Elephas maximus indicus: one gene and its partner. The protein of the gene in region 1 purifies or fractionates together with the protein of each later gene. This does not show direct contact. Links are inferred from orthologs where the notes say so. Each region holds a gene or a part of one and is shown on either strand. Other genes may lie near its edges.

What was found. Proteins that work in one complex are often made in the same cells at the same time.
Region 2: the proteins of UBXN7 (region 1) and TOPORS purify together in Homo sapiens (affinity purification with mass spectrometry; 4 studies listed by BioGRID and IntAct, with this or other methods). This does not show direct contact. The link is inferred for Elephas maximus indicus from reciprocal best matches to the Homo sapiens genes UBXN7 and TOPORS.

Annotation. Positions count from the first base shown.
Region 1 is NC_064819.1:17,996,783-18,004,980, forward strand, and holds the start of UBXN7 (UBX domain-containing protein 7), read right to left. Parts: upstream 3,287-8,198; 5' UTR 3,217-3,286; coding exon 3,144-3,216; intron 1-3,143. UniProt on the Homo sapiens protein: Ubiquitin-binding adapter that links a subset of NEDD8-associated cullin ring ligases (CRLs) to the segregase VCP/p97, to regulate turnover of their ubiquitination substrates.
Region 2 is NC_064827.1:41,737,305-41,745,360, forward strand, and holds the start of TOPORS (E3 ubiquitin-protein ligase Topors), read right to left. Parts: upstream 3,022-8,056; 5' UTR 2,977-3,021; coding exon of another isoform or gene 2,934-2,976; coding exon 2,931-2,933; exon of another isoform or gene 2,793-2,930; intron 1,501-2,792; coding exon 1,306-1,500; intron 1-1,305. Other genes in the region: SMIM27 (small integral membrane protein 27), read left to right, coding at 2,932-2,976, 3,293-3,415; NDUFB6 (NADH dehydrogenase [ubiquinone] 1 beta subcomplex subunit 6), read right to left, coding at 4,123-4,191. UniProt on the Homo sapiens protein: Functions as an E3 ubiquitin-protein ligase and as an E3 SUMO1-protein ligase. Probable tumor suppressor involved in cell growth, cell proliferation and apoptosis that regulates p53/TP53 stability through ubiquitin-dependent degradation.

The sequences.
Region 1 (8,198 bases):
ATAATATGCATCCATTCAACAATTTTAGAAAAAAAGATAAAGCTTAGGTATTTTCTACAACGGAGGTGCTATAATTTCGTGAAATATGCTTATGCCTACTATGCACAAAGCATTAAGGAATTCTATAATATCAACCTGTTGTACTCTTCTAAGCCTCCACATTTTGTCCTTACCTTCTGATTTGCCTGTTTATTTTTTACCTATTCTATAATGGTCTCCAGACCCTTCACCTCATGAACTATTCTGATTGTATTTGTACATTTTGTATACGTGTGGCTGGATGTCAGCCCAAGTTAGTGTTAATGGGATACTATCATGATTCAAAATATTTTTTTAAATTGTTCTTTTGAAATTCCTTTCAGATTCAGCAGCATATTCTTTCATGTTTTGAGAACTGATAAGACTTCTAAAAGTAGCCAACAGTCATTCAAAGTCATGTGTGATGAATATCAAGGGCTATCAAACCAAGTAATATTGTAAAATGGGGTATGACTAAAAAGAACTTATTTTATGTAGCTTTAAACAGCTCTGAAGGCATCAGTGGTGGTGGTACACAGCGTCTTAACATGATTACTTCAAAGAACATCACTTCCTTGGCTACCTGCTTGTCAGAGAGCGCAATCATAGAAAAATGCGTACGGTGTAACGTTAAGTGAAAAATTTAGAATTCTAAATTATGTACAGTACAATCTATAATGCAAAAAATAAGTATGTAAACGAGAATTGGAAGAGACCATAATAAAATAAATAATATTGATGTAAGAGTGGAAAATTAGTTTTTTTCCCTTTTTCCAAACTATTTCATGTTTGTCATCTTTTTAATAATTAAAAAATTTTAAAAATCAGATTCATTCCTTCATACACACGTACTATAGAGAAATTTGTTTTATTTAGTAAGAAATAAGATTTACTAAGAAATCTTTCAATTTTCTATTTCTAAATGCCATTGAATTAGTTGCTTGTATCAGAATGTTGAGCTTCTAGGTAAGTAAACCTTTTCAAAATCAGAGCATAAGCTCTTAAAAAAAAAAAATTTTTTTTAAGGTCAGCCTAATTCACCCAGCAATGCATAAAAAACAACTACCTTCTTATCATAAACACTACTGTTTACAATATATGTGAAGATAACCCCCAAATTTATTTTTTAGATACATGAAAAGGGGTGGAGGGATCAATCAGGTGTTTCTAATGGTAATCATAACCTCGTTGAAAGAATCTAAAAAAATTATTAATAACAATTCACAATAGATTAGGAACAATCTAAGGTATTTCTGCTTTTGCAGAATTCTAGATACCATTGTCTACTGAGAGAATCCAACCTGATTCAGAAATAGAAACGCCTGTGACCAGGAAACAGGCAGTATAGACTAGCAAACAGAGACAGAATAAAGGCAGTTCAGTGAGTCAGTTCACCTCATCACACTTCAGATTTTGTCTATATCTAACAAAAATGTTCATTACAAGAGATAATGTGAAGTTAAAGCAATAAGTGTTCCTGAGTCCATTTATTTAATTTCAGTTTCTCTGCAGAAAAAACTGAAATTAAATAAGTGTCATATTAAACTACCTCTAATAAACCTAAAAAAAGGATTATTAATGATACTCTATAACCGATTCACTACAAAGATTTTCCTATATAAACATAATGCAGTACATGTTAACTTATACACATAATTTTCCCCACAAAAGTGGCTTCGGGAGGTAATGGCATTACACCTTTAGTATATTTTAAATTATGAATATGAAAATTATCACTCCATTCCCCACTCCGATTTTATTACAAATTTTACTTTACCAACTTTGACCCACTGCTGCATGCGCAGGAGCTAGATAACAATGCATCAAACATCTAGTTACCGTTGCAGAGTTAAAAAAAAAAATAAAAGGAGCTTTAATTATCCAACGATAACTAGCATACAACCTGTATTGGGTAAAACAATGTAAAATTTTCCTTAGCCAGATCTTGCACGACAAACTCTGAGAAACATTAACAGTGAAAGGATCGTCCGCATTTAACAAAGCATCAGAGAGAGGATCTGCTAGGCGAGAGAACTAACATTCTGACCTCTTTCCAAAATGACAAACTAGAGCTGCAAAATTACACCCCGGCACATGGAGTACTCTCCTCTCAAATCACTCCACAGAGAACTTCATCATTTGCTCCGCCCTCTAATAACTCATGCAAAAAAAGTTCAGCACCATCAGAGAGAAACCAAGACCCAGGGAATACAGAGAATGGCTTAGGGCCTTTCCCCCAGGCGGTGAGAGGATCTGCGTGTGCCCTTCGCAGGGGTCCAAAAAAAGAAAAACCCAGGCCTAGGGTCTGAGGGATACCGACAGCCAGAGAGAGATTTCCTCTCGGCGAAGTTTCTGCCGCCATCCCTATGTGAGCAGCGGGAGGCCCCGGCGCCATCGCCTCGGTCTTTGGGGTTTTATTATAGGGAGGTGGGAAACGCCAGCCAGGATTCCTCCAGGCCTTCACAATTAAGCTTGTGGAGGGGATCCCCTCATTTTACTCTTAAAACCCCAGTTCCTAAGGTGCTTCTCAGCCGCCCCCTTCCTGGCGGCCGATCTCCCCGGATCCGTGAAGGCGCTGCCGAAGCCACTAGCCTCGCCGTGAAGGCGGGAGGGCCCGAACCAGCCAGGGCCACAGCGATGGCTCCGAGGGGCCCAGCCAGGGGAAGGGCAGGCCAGGGACGGGGGAGAATGACCCGGCCGGGGAGCCGGGAAAGAGGAGCTGAGGGGACGCACTCCGCCCCCGAGCTGGCCAGAGAAGAGAGGAAGATGATGGAGGAGGAGGAGGGCGGTGGCCCGGGTGCGGCCCCCCACTCCTTCCGCCCCCAGGCCCCCGGGCCGGCGGGGACGGATGGGCTCGGCCCACTCGCCGGGACCGGGCTGGCAGGGGTGAAGGGTCCCCCTCCACACTGCGAGGAGACCACGAGCGAGAATGTGGGCAGCGGGGGGGCCGCCTCCCGCCTGAACCCGGAGACCCCGACGCCGTCGTCGCCTCTTCCTCAGGAGGGAGGACGGGAGCTTTGAGTAAAGCCCGAGGGAGGAATGCATGAAGGCAGAAGAAAGCCCGGGGCAGACCCGCCGCCCGCCCCGGACCCCGCTCTGCACCTTCCGGTAACCGCGTCTCTTACCGGTGATGGCGGTGAACTGCTGAATTAACCCCTTCAGCGCCGAGGACGCGGCGGAGCCCCCGTGGGCAGCCATCTTACCGCCGCCGCCGCTGCCGCCGAACAACAACACAGACACACACGGACCGCCCTCCCCCACCTCGCAGCGCCGTTTGCGCAGGCTCATTGACCATCCCCATGCTCCGCCCCTCCCGGCCCGCTGAGCGGTGAGCGCAGGCGCACTTCCCGACCGGTCCGGGAGCGCTCTCTCTGCTCTCCGGATTGGCTGCTCGGTTGCTGTCTGCTCGCCGCATCCTTCTTGCAGCCTCTGGTGCCTCCCTCTCCAAACTCCAAGGCCAGCCTGGTAGACACGGTATGAGCTCCTGCTTTCCAGAGGAAGATTCGGACTCGCCAGGTAGCAGGTTCCTCGCGATTCAACTTGACAAGCTTTAGTGACAGACCCAACTACCGGTGACAGGGTTTTTTGTTGTTGTTTTTTTTCTTTTTTGCAGCTCCACAACCCCTCTGCTAGGTTTGCTGAAGCTCCCACCAAAATCCAAATCCTATATCATCAACACTGAAGCCACTCGTACAGGTTCTCCAACGTCTAAACTAATTGCTTTCCCTAACCTAGTGCAGCGACCCTATCCAGCAAAATACCAGAACCTTTCATGCCAAGATAGCATGGTGCAGGATTTGACACGTAGTAGGGGTTTTTAAAAAATAATATTTTATTGTGTTTTAGGTGAAAGTTTACAGCAAAGTAGGTTCCCATTTAACAATTTTTATACAGATTGTTTCCTGACATTGGTTACACAATGTGTCACTATTCTCGTCATTTCCATTCTGTTTGTTCTGTTTCCACTAAATCTAGCTTCCCTGCCCCTCCTTATCTTCTCATCCTTGCTTTAGGGTAAATGTTGACCGTTTGATCTCAGGTAGTTGATTATTTAAGGGATCACAGTACTCACAGGTGATATTGTTTATTTTATAAGCCTATCTTTTATGTGGAAGTAGCTTCAGTTCCAAGTTCAAAGCATATCTTAGGGAGATAGTCTCAGAGGTTTCTCTAGTCTTTCTTGGTCCAGCAAGTCTGGTGTTTTTTTTTTAGAAATTTGAGTTTTGTTCCACATTTTTCTGCCAACCCACCTGGGATCTTCTATTGTGTCCCTGGTAATAATGGTTGTGGTAGCCAAGCACCATGTAGTTCTGGTCTCAGGCTAGATGAGACCATGGTTCATGTGGGCTAGTTGCTTCTTTGAGTCCTTGGTTTCCTTCATTGTATTTTGTTCCAAAGAAGTAGAGACCAGTTCATAGTAGGGTATTAATAAATGATTTTTCCGTTGGCTTTCCTTCAATAAATTTGTCTACACATTTTTCCCCTCAGGGTCCCACTTAGTTTCCTCATCTGTAAAATAAGGGGGTATCGTTTCTGTAAAAAGAAAATGTATAGGTGTATATACAGCTGAGAGAAAAGAAAATGTATAGAAATGGCACTGCAAAGATGTCCTGAAAACACTGATAATAGTTACCTCTAGAAAGGGGAGCGAGAGGGACAGTGTTGAAAAGGGACTTTGAGTTTATTTTGTATCTTTTATTTTTAAACAAAAAAGAATATTTGTATGTTACTTGTATACTTCTAAATGTTTTTAAATAGAATTATATGAGTGAGGTGCACTCGGATGTAATGACATCCCACCTAGAGAATAAGGTTAAAGAGCCTCAGTTTAGGTTCTAGCCTTTCCCCTCCCCCATCCAAATATCTTGCATCTTCACAAGAAAATGGCTCAATAAAAGATAGAATGAGTCATCTGGAGAATTCTAAGAAACAGTATGTAAATGTATGCTTGGGGAGAACTGAGAAAGAACCATGTCAAATCAAGGTTAATTATAGGATTGTAGTTTCAGAAAGACAGGATTGGTATAAAAGAAGGTAGATTCCTAATCAAGAATACTCTTGAGCAAAGAAAGGATGTGGGGCATTCTGACAGGCCACACAGACCTGAGAGCAAAACACCTAGAAATGCCACCCAAATCATAACAAGCATTTGTTTAAGTGGGTAGCTTAGATCTCAGAAAAATACAGGAAATCTCCAGTGGCCAAAAATGAAGAGGGAACAAAATCATTGTGCAATAAGTTTGAGATAATGTTGGGGCTAGAGAGCAGAAAGAGGGGGAGGTTGTATGTCTGATTGAATGGGTTTAAAGGTCACTCGGCAGCAAGACTTGAGGCCTTGTGCCTTCACGAAGTGGGCTAGTTAAACTGAAACTCCCCCTCCCCTTAAAGCTGAAACCTTTGAAGAACTACTTGCTCAATAATAACATAAAAGTTCAGACAAGAAAAAATACACCCTCAGCACTGGGAAGGTACAATAAGCTTGTCTCTCTGCCTCTGGATTCCTGCAGGTGAGCTGTAGCTAAAAGTATCAACTCTAAGAATTCCTAACCACAGGCCTGTCCTGAGATGGTTTGGAATTCAAATTTTAATTCCTGCAGGGGCCAGGAACTACCCAAGTTGAAAAATTAGTAGAAAGTGATCCAAGGCTGATAATAACCCCAGGGCAACTGGCAATAGATGATAGAAAATATCTTACAAAAGAATAGCAATTAGTTTGATACAAAATTCTGAAGAGAAGAGCAAAAAATAATGGGATATTATACTTAAACTGCTGAGAAAAAAATAAGGATGGAACTAGAATTCTGTTCACAGTAAATGATTCCTCAAGAGTAAAGATGAAGAAGGCAGAACCAAGATGGCGGACCAGTCAGATACACTAAGCCATCCAGCTGCAATAAAGACCTGAAAAAGCAAAACGGATTGAGACGGTCAATCCTGGAACCCTGAACCTTAAGTGAAGGGATACAATAATGAAGGATAAAACAAAACTAAAAGATTTAAAACGGGAAACTTGTTGTTAGGTGCCATCGAGTCGATTCCAACTCATAGTGACCCTATGTACCACAGAACGAAACACTGCCTGGTCCTGCACTATGCTCACAATGGTTGTTCTGCTTGAGCCCATTGTTACAGCCACTGTGTCAATCCATGTTTTCGGCTGACCTTGTACTTTACCAAGCATAATGTCCTTTTCCAGGGACTGATGCCTCCTGACTACATGTCCAAAGTGTATAAGACACAGTCTCACCATCCCTGCTTCTAAGGAGCATTCTCGTTGTGCTTCTTACAAGACAGATTTGTTCCTTCTTCTGGCAGTCCATGATATATTCAGTATTCTTTTCCAGCACCACAATTCAAAGGCATCAATTCTTCTTCAGTTTTCCTTATTCATCATCCAGCTTTCGCATGCATGTGATGCGATTGAAAATACCATGGCTTGAGTCAGGCACAACTTAGTCTTCAAGGTAACATCTTTGCTTTTCAACACTTTAAAGATGTCTTTTGCAGCAGACGTGCCCAATGCAACGTGTCTCTTGATTTCTTCACTGCTGCTTCCATGGCTGTGGATTGTGGATCCGAGTGAAATGAAATCCTTGACAACTTCATTCTTTTCTCCATTTATCATGATGTTGCTTATTGGTCCAGTTGTGAGGATGTTTGTTTTCTTTATGTTGAGGTGTAATCCATACTGAAGGCTGTGATCTTTGATCATCTTCAAGAAGTGCTTCAAGTCCTCTTCACTTTCAGCAAGAAAGGTTGTGTCATCTGCATATCAAAGGTTGTTAATAAGTCTTCCTCCTGTTGTGTTGCCCCATTCTTCATATAGTCCAGCTTCTCGGATTATATGCTTAACATTCAGATTGAATAGGTGTGGTGAAAGGATACAATCCTAACGCACACCTTTCCTGACTTTACCACAAAGTATCCCCTTGTTCTATCCAAACAACTGCCTCTTGATCTAGGTACAGGATCCTCATGAGCACAATTAAGTGCCCTGGAATTCCCATTCTTTGCAATGTTATCTATAATTCATTATGATCCACACAGTCAAATGCTTTTGCATAGTCAATAAAACACAGGTAAACATCCTTCTGGTATTCTCTGCCTTCAGCCAGGATCCATCTGACATCAGGAATGATATCCCTGGTTCCACGTCCTCTTCTGAATCTTGCCGGAATTGCTGGCAGTTCCCTGTCAATATACTGCTGCAGCCACTTTTGAATGATCTTCAGCAAAATTTTGCTTGCATGTAATATTAGTGATGTTGGATAATTTCTGCATTCGGATCGATCACCTTCTTGGGAATAGACATAGATATGGATCTCTTCCAGTCAGTTGGCCAGGTAGCTGTCTTCCAAATTTCTTAGTATAGATGAGTGAGTGCTTCCAGTGCCGCATCCATTTGTTGAAACATCTCAATTGATATTCCATCAATTCCTGGAGCCTTATTTTTTGCCAGTGCCTTCAGTGCAGCTTGGACTTCTTCCATCAGTACCATTGGTTCCTGATCATATACTACCTTTTGAAATGGTTGGACATCGACCAATTCTTTTTGGTATAATGACTCTGTGTATTCCTTTCATCTTCTTTTGATGCTTCCTGCATCATTCAATATTTTCCCCATAGAATCCTTCACTATTGCAACTTGAGGCTTGAATTTTTTCTTCAGTTCTTTCAGCTTGAGAAATCTGAGCATGTTCTTCTCTTTTGGTTTTCTATCTCCTGCTCTTTGCACATGTCATTATAATACTTTGTCTTCTCGGGCTGCCCTTTGGAATCTCTTGTTCAGGTTCTTTTACTTCATCTTTTCTTCCTTTTGCTTTAGCTGCTCGACATTCAAGAGCAAATTTCAGAGTCTCTTCTGACATGCATTTTGGTCTTTCTTTCTTTCCTGTCTTTTTAATGACCTCTTGCTTTCTTCGTGGATGATGTCCCTGATGTCATTCCACAACTCATCTGGTCTTTGGTCATTAGTATTCAACATGTCAAATATATTCTTGAGATAGTTTTTAAATTCAGGTAGGTTATTCTCAAGGTCATACTTTGGTTCTCCTGGACTCGTTCTGGTTTTCCTCAGTTTCAACGTGAACTTGCATGTGAGCAATTGATGATCTCTTCCGCAGTCGGCCCCTGCCCTTGTTCTGACTGACAATACTGCGTTTTTCCATTGTCTCTTTCCA
Region 2 (8,056 bases), on another chromosome or scaffold:
CATGTTATGTGAAAATAACTGAGCTGATTTCAATGACTGGATCAAGATGATAGGCTGTTGACAGCTAAATAATCTTCATACATAATATAATTATTGTACTTAATATATCTAGGCAAAGTAGCTAAAAAGGGTTCACAAGTAGATAAAATAGAAAGGCACCTCCATGTATAAAAAATAATGTGGGCCCTACCTCTTGTCACCTCAAGGAGTCTCTGAACTGCAGTTTAATCACAGATTCCAAAAGATCATACGGAAGTTACAGGGTTTGCTGACCAGATTCTACCACATTTAATGCCAATTCTAGCAATAAAAAGAATTGGTTGGGAACCGTTTTCCCTCTAAAGCCATTCATTCCAGATAAGCATGATTGTTCTAGCTGACTGTAAAGCCTTTACAGTGGTTTAAAGAGAAAAAAAAAAATCTCATCACATACTAGCTCAACTCTTGGGAAGCTGTTTCTTACTTTATATAATCTTGAAAATTACCTACTATGAACTCTATTCATTTTTTCTCTTAACTTTTAAATCACTATCTGCCTCATCTCAGTACTGTCCCCTTCCTGCCCATAAGGAAAGCTGCACTGACTGAAGAAGTCACAGGCAGGCGAGCTCAGCCCAGAATACACACCACTGAACAGACAGCTCCAATATTCAAGGTGATAGCCGCTTCCTTTAGGTGAGAGCTGCGATGGGCCAGGATCTAAGGTAAGCAGCGCATGCATTACATAATCCCACACCCCACTGCTGACTCATAGCGACCCTGCCCCAGAGGGTTTTCAAGAAGTAAACCTTTACGGAAGCAGACTGCCAGCCACATCTTTCTCCCGCGGAGTAGCCGGTGGGATCGCCGACCTCTCGGTTGGCAGCCGAGCGCTTAACCACTGCGCTACCAGGGATTCTGGACATAATCACAACGAACTAAAATAGTTATTCCCATTTTACAGACAGGCTCGGAGAGGTTAAGGGACCTGGCCAAGGTCACACCCGTCAGTGGCGATGCCAAGATTCAGACTCCAGCGGTTATTTTTCTAGAGACCAGGCTCTTTCCAGTACACAGCTAGGCTCGCGCCCCTCGCCCCTTGGGAGCCTTCGAAACGCAGCCTTCACCCTCCCACCGGCGCAAATCCACAGGTGCGCCGCAGAGTCGCCAGTCCGCCCGCCCGCCCGGACCCCTGCCCGGTTGAGGCCCGGGCGGCCCCGCAGGCCAAGACCACGGCCCCAAGTCCTTGGGCCTCGCTCCCGGAGGGACCTCCGGTTCGCCCAGCCCTTCCGACCCCCGTGCCCCATTGTTTCCGATCCCACTCACCCCAGAGGATGCCTGCGCAGACCCGGCCGGGGCGCTCGTGGCTAGCTCCCTACGGCTCAGAAAGCTGGGTCGGTGACGGCAGGACCCGCGAAGGCGTACCCGGCGACTTCTCCGCCTACTCTCAGGAGCCGGAGCGGGCGGGGGCGCTTCACCCTCCTCGCGAGACAGCGGAGACCCTGGCGGCTGCTGCGACCCCTGTGACGTAAAGCGCTCATCACCAATGGCAGCTTGGAGGCGGTGTCAGAAAGCGAGACCCCACCCCTCCAGCGCGTCAAAACACTATACCAGCCTTTTTAACGCATGCGCGTTAGAAAGCCGCCAGCACTGAGGGCGGCACTTAATGCGCTCCGGCCCGAGACTGGGCCCTTCCCCCACCACTCCGTTCCGGGAGTGAGAGCAATCTGACCATCCCGGGCAGAAATCACTATCATGATCATTCCTATTATTAATCGTAGGGATTACAGGGTACTAACTTAATGTTCGCTCCTAAATTATCGGAAAACAAAATAACTAGACAAAACCTTAGCTTGGTCTCATTTAAATATCAAGAAACTTGGGAGAAGTTACAAAAACTATCTCCATTGTATATAGGTACACAGTGTTACCCGAAAGTGACTTGACCATCGGTTGCACAGCTAGGAAATAACATCGGGATTCGAATGGGATCCAAAGCCAGACTCCAATCAGTATCTTATATAGTCTCGAGAGAGATCTACTCCAGCTTGAGGAGAAACAGTCAAGGCCTAACACAGAATAGGCTCTGAATTCTCTCCAAAACAGATAGGTTTTTCTCTCAAAGAACTTCTTTCCCCCTACCCTCTCCCCAAAATTTGGATTAAAGTCTAAGTTAATATCCGAGATTTATGAATAAAGAACGTCAGCCTAGAACGGCCCATGGCCAGACTACACCACTCAGGCCTCAACGTGAGCGTCCCATTTTACAGGTAAACTTAGCACAACCGGCCGTAACGCTCAACACTTGTTGATTCACTGGTGCATTATGCCGGATAGTTCTTGCCACGTATTTCTTCTTACGAGTATCATTTACATTAAAAACCTATTGCGTTCTCAGAGACTATACGTTTCTTAAAGGGCCCAATTAACAGTGATTCCCGCCTAACTGATGACTGTTACATAAAATAGTACACAGTATTCTCGTATGCGTCGCAGCTGAATATACAAACGTTTATATTATGTAAAAACAGATGCGGGAAAAACGTTTTCTTCCAGCGTTAGATACCGGTGCAATATTTAAAAGGCAGATATTTTTCAAATAAACGTTTAAGTGCACACGACAGTACATTATCCTACATTAGCACTGCATCCCAACTGGAAAGAAAACCGGCTGGCGAAAAACACCTCTTTAAGCGGCAATTTTTTAATCTATTTTCTCATTTATTCCATCCCTTCCCTGCCAGGCGGGCTAGGCCCCCTTCACCTGACTCCGCCTCCGGCTCAGGGCGGAAGAGGCAGGCCTGGCCAATGGGAAAAGCTCCCGGGGGCTAGTGGGAGGGCGTTCGTACCCGGCTGAAAGATGGCCGCTGCCGCCCAGTAGCCACCGCCCCGCAGGTTAGTCTAGGCCCACATCTTCCGCCGGTTCCCGCGGACCGCCGCCGCCTCCTTACCATGAAGCCAGTGAATCGCCGCACCCTGGACTGGATTTATTCAATGGTAGGTCCCGGGTCTGGCGGGGCTCCACGGTGTCGACTCCTTGGGCCCACAGGCGGGAGGTTCTCTATTTCTTCAACATCCGCAAACTCCAAAATCCATTACTGAATTAAGCACTCCCCCCCTCCACCTCGACTCCGCCTCTTCCTGGAGGACACGATCTTCCGCTTCTTACGTAAGGGCCGCTGGGTGTACTTGTCTCCGGAATCCCATTTATTATTTTATCACTATAATTCCCATTTCTGCAGTGGTACACGGTAACTTCAAAGGAGTAATTTTTTTTTTTTTTGCTTTTTCTCCCTCTGACATTTTTTTTTAGTTGCTCGTTGCGATCGTATTACTCTCCTGGGGATATGTCATTTATGCATCAACAGTAGCTGCACGACGACAGCTAACGAAGGAATACCCAGACAGAATCTTCGAGATGAATGAAAATTTGTAATTCCTTTGGATTTAATTCTCTGCAAATACAATTCTTTACCTCATCCTTATCTGATACCTGTTTAGATTAAAAAATAAAATCCATAATGTAAAATTTTGAACTTTATTTTTGGATCGCCTTTTATAATAACCACTAATAGACACTAATTTTTCAAAAGCTTGGAGAGATTTTAGTCTTACAGTCTCATATGATAAAACTCAGATCAGTAACCTAGATCTGACAGCCTTTGAGTATCAGATCATTGATGGAACCCATGCATTTCAATCTAGAGTTTCTAAAATACTTCCTTTAAAATAGCTCAGAAAGATTTCTTTAAAACAGAAGTGGGCGGGATTTTTTTCTTGTATTTGTTATACTGCAGTATCTAATTCTGGTGCATTCCCTCAGACCAAACTAGAGTTACTGTATAAGAAAAATTCTATCATGTGACTAAATACTTTTCTACATCCTGTTTTCCAATTCAGGAATGACCAGAACAACTGGAGCAGTCACTCATATCATTTGTTTTGCATGTTCAATTTTTACAATTTTTAAATGATTTAAAGGGTCTCAAACTGTACAATGTTTTGGTAGAGATATGACAACACATTTCTGGGAGTAAACTTGTAAGTTTACTTTATTAAAGTTACTTTTCCAGAAAATATTACTCAGTAAATATGGTATTATAGGACTTGGGCTCATAAATCTTTGAAATGTTTAAGTAATCTTCAATGATGTTGATCAGGAAAGTCTTTCATTGGTGGAATTACTTCTCCAGTCTCCAGAATTGTATCACCCTAGGAAAACAAAGATGTGTTAGTAGAAAAATCTTGTGGGGGTGATAGTTCCACTTTGTTCTATGTGTTGGTCATTCCTCACATGGAAAATCTAGTTCAGCTCTGACATTCACACTTAAGAGGGACTTAAAAGTGTAAGCTGTTTAAAGATGAACAAGTACTCAAAATCTTAAGGTACAAATTAAAGGGGAAGCTTCATTCAGAAACAACCAGAGGGGGCATGAAAGTTTTCACCAAGTGAAAAACAGATAATCCTTACTTTGAACAGCCCCAAGAAATAAGAGAATCCCTAAAAACAAGGTGCAGGAAAACATCTTCGGTTCAATATAAGGACGTAATCAATGTATTCTCAATAATTGATATTAAGCAATTGCCAGTTTAATGCTTGGCTTAGATATTAGAGATACAATGTAGACATTGGCTGGGCAGCTGGTCCAGGTGTCTTCAAACCTGGATACAGTGTGTGTGGAAGAAAGGGCGTGGGCTTTGGATACAGAACCATGTGGTGAGAATCATGGCCGTTTCATGGACAAGCTGTAAAATTTTAGGCAAATTATTTAGCTTCTCTGAGCTTCAGTCATCATCTGTATAATGGGGATAACAATCCCTATCTCATAAAGCATTGATTCAGTACTTCGCATATTGTGAACAATCAACAAATAATAACTATTAATATACTTTTTATTTTTTTTTATACTTGTATATCTTCTGACCATGAAATTGATTCTAAATATTTTATATCAGCATGCTCTAGTTGTACAAAAGATAAGACAAATCACAAAGTGTTGAAACTAAGCTAGTCATATAAATTTGATAATGCTGAGAGAGGCAAAAAAGAGAGGGAAACAAAACACTTGACCCATAGATGTACCAAGTGCTTTTAGCAACCTGGGCCATTTTACTCCACACTGATAGAGATTTGCATTTCGAAGGATGAGAAGAGTTTTCCAAAAGGAAACAGGGATTTTTTCTATATACTTGAATTTCTACCACACTTAGTCATTCCATCTGAAATTAAAGAGAACTCAATAAAAATTCAAGAACTCAATAAAAACTCTAGAATTGTGAATTTTGATTTTTAATCATTTACATCAGCCTAAGACCAGAAGAACTAGATGGCGCCCGGCTACAACTGATGACTGCCTTGACAGGGAACAGAACAGAGAACCCCTGAGGGAGCAGGAGAGCAGTGGGATGCAAACCCCAAATTCTTATAAAAAGACCAGACTTAATGGTCTGACTGAGACTACAGAGGTCATGGTCCGCAGACCTGTTAGCCCAAGGCAGGAACCATTCCCAAAGCCAACTCCTCAGCCAGGGATTGGACTGGACTATGGGATAGAAAATGATACTGGTGAAGAGTGAGCTTCTTGGATCAAGTAGATACATGAGACTATGTGGGCAGCTCCTGTTTGGAAAAAAAGATGAGAGGATAGAGGGAGTCATAAGTTGGCCAAATGGACACGAAAACTGAGTGAAGGGAAGGGGTGTGCTCTCTCATCAGAGAGTGAGCAACTAGGAATATATAGCAAGGTGTATATAAGTTTTTGTATGTATGAGAGACTGACTTGGTTTGTAAACTTTCACTTAAAGCACAATAAAAATAAAACAGGATGTGTCAAAAAGATGGTGGAATGTAGCATGTTTGAAGGGAACAGTTAAGGGACCATTTTTACTGGAATAAAGTATTTACATAAAGGAAGAGATAACGGTAGAATGAAAGGCTTGAATAAGTTTAAAAAAAAAAAAAACCATTGCCATAGAGTCAGTTCCGACTCATACTGACCCTACAGCATAGAGCAGAACTGCCCCATACGGTTCCCAAGGCTGTAATCTTTACGTAAGCAGACGGCCACATCTTTCTCCTGTGGAGCGGCTGGTGGGTTCAAACCACGAGCCTTTTGGTTAGCAGCTAAGTGCTTAACCACTGCGCTACCTGGGCTCCTTTCTGAACAAACTAGAGAGCCTTAAATGGAATGTGAACACATTTATCCCAAAGGAAGTGAAAAGCCATCAAGGTTTTTTTTTTTTAAAGAGGGTTATGGAAGAGATTTTAGGTTGCTCACCAAAATCCATATTTTTCTCTTTTTCTGCAGTTTTAATCTTCCTATTGAGGTTAAGCGTAGCAGTGTGAATGAGTTCAACCCAATGGAATGTGAGTAGAAGTGTATTGGAGTCTGGAGACTTTGGAAGCCCTGTGTTTAAGATAGCTGATTCTGTCAGCCTGGATCCCTGAATGAATTATTTCTCCCCCAATTCCCCATTCCCTGACCTGGAAATGTTCAGGACTGTTGCCTAATGAAGAAATAAACTTTTATTATGTTTAAGCCATTACACATTTTGGGGACATGTTGCTACTACACCTAGCATTACCCTAATGCAGAAGTTAGTACCTTGATGTGGTACAAATGATGCCATAATAAAAATCAAACTACACTGCACTAGCTTAGCAGTCTAGCAGCAAGGGCAATGGCACTGAGAGCTAAAAAATGGAAACAAAGAGTTAGCGGCAAAGTATTTGGCAAAATGTCTCCTATAATAACGGAAGCAGACTGCTCTAGAAGTAGCTTAAAAAAAGTTATGGTATGTGTTTGGCTACTACTGGCTGCCTTGGCAATGCACTTTAGGAAAGATGACCTCAATCAAGAAGTGGCTGATTTAAGAGCAGAAATAAAAATGGAGAGAATCCAAAAATTCAAGACCTTGCAGTACTGAAAAATCTGACTGCTTCTGAATCCCTAAACAGTAAGAGTTAACACTAAAAATATCCTGAGTAACAGAAAAAAAAAAAAAAAATCAGTAAACAGAGGGACTCAGCCCTATGGAAAAGAGCAGATTAAAGGGAATGTAGCCTTTGAAGCAGTCTGTTTCAGATGGCCTCCACATAGCTGCCACTAAGTTAACAGAGATACCTGTAAGGGTAAAGCAGCAAAGAAATCAGAGAACTTGATGATAATGATGTGTAGAAAGAACAAATACTAGCATATGGAACTGGCTAGAAGCAAACAGATTAGATGCTTACCAAGTATTTTTCTTTCTACGCTTACCAAATGTTTGAGGGAATTAGATGGTTAAAGAAAACAAATACACAAAACTATAAAAGTCTGTGAATGTTTTAGCTTAAAATGACCTCTGGCAATCAACCTTCTATAAGCAGAAGGCAGGCTTTGAAGGCTGTGCAACTCCCCCAAGGAAGGCATGCTTCCTAGTGCCCATTTTAGATCTAGTCTAGGTTGATAATGGAAAAGAACCTTGTTCCTTGCAACAGTGTTCACAATAGCAAAAAGATGGAAACAACCTAAATGCCCACCAACGGATGAATGAGTAAACAAACTGGTACACACGATGGAATACTACACAACAGTAAAGAATAATGACAAACCTGCAAAACATCTCACAATGTGACCGAATCTAGAGGACATCATGCTGAGTGAAATAAGTCAATCACAAATGGACAAATATTATATGAGACCACTATTGTAAACAGTCAAGAAAAGGTTTACACACAGAAAGAAATATATATATCTTTTTACTCTTTTTTTTAATTGAACTTTAGATGAAGGTTTACAGAACAAAGTAGTTTCTGATCAAATAGTACACACACTGTTGTATGACACTGGTTGACAACCCCACAACAAGTCAACACTCTCCCTTCTCAACCCTCAGTTCCCTATTACCACCTTTCCTGTACCCTCCTACCTTCCAGTCCCTGCCCCAGGGCTTGTTTTATCTTGTTTTGTTCCATGGGCCTGTTCAATCTTTGGCTGAAGGATGAACCTCAGGAGTGGCACCATTACTGAGCTGAAAGCGTGTCTGGGGGCATACTTTCAGGATTAGAAAGAAACATTTCTTGATGGTTTCCAGG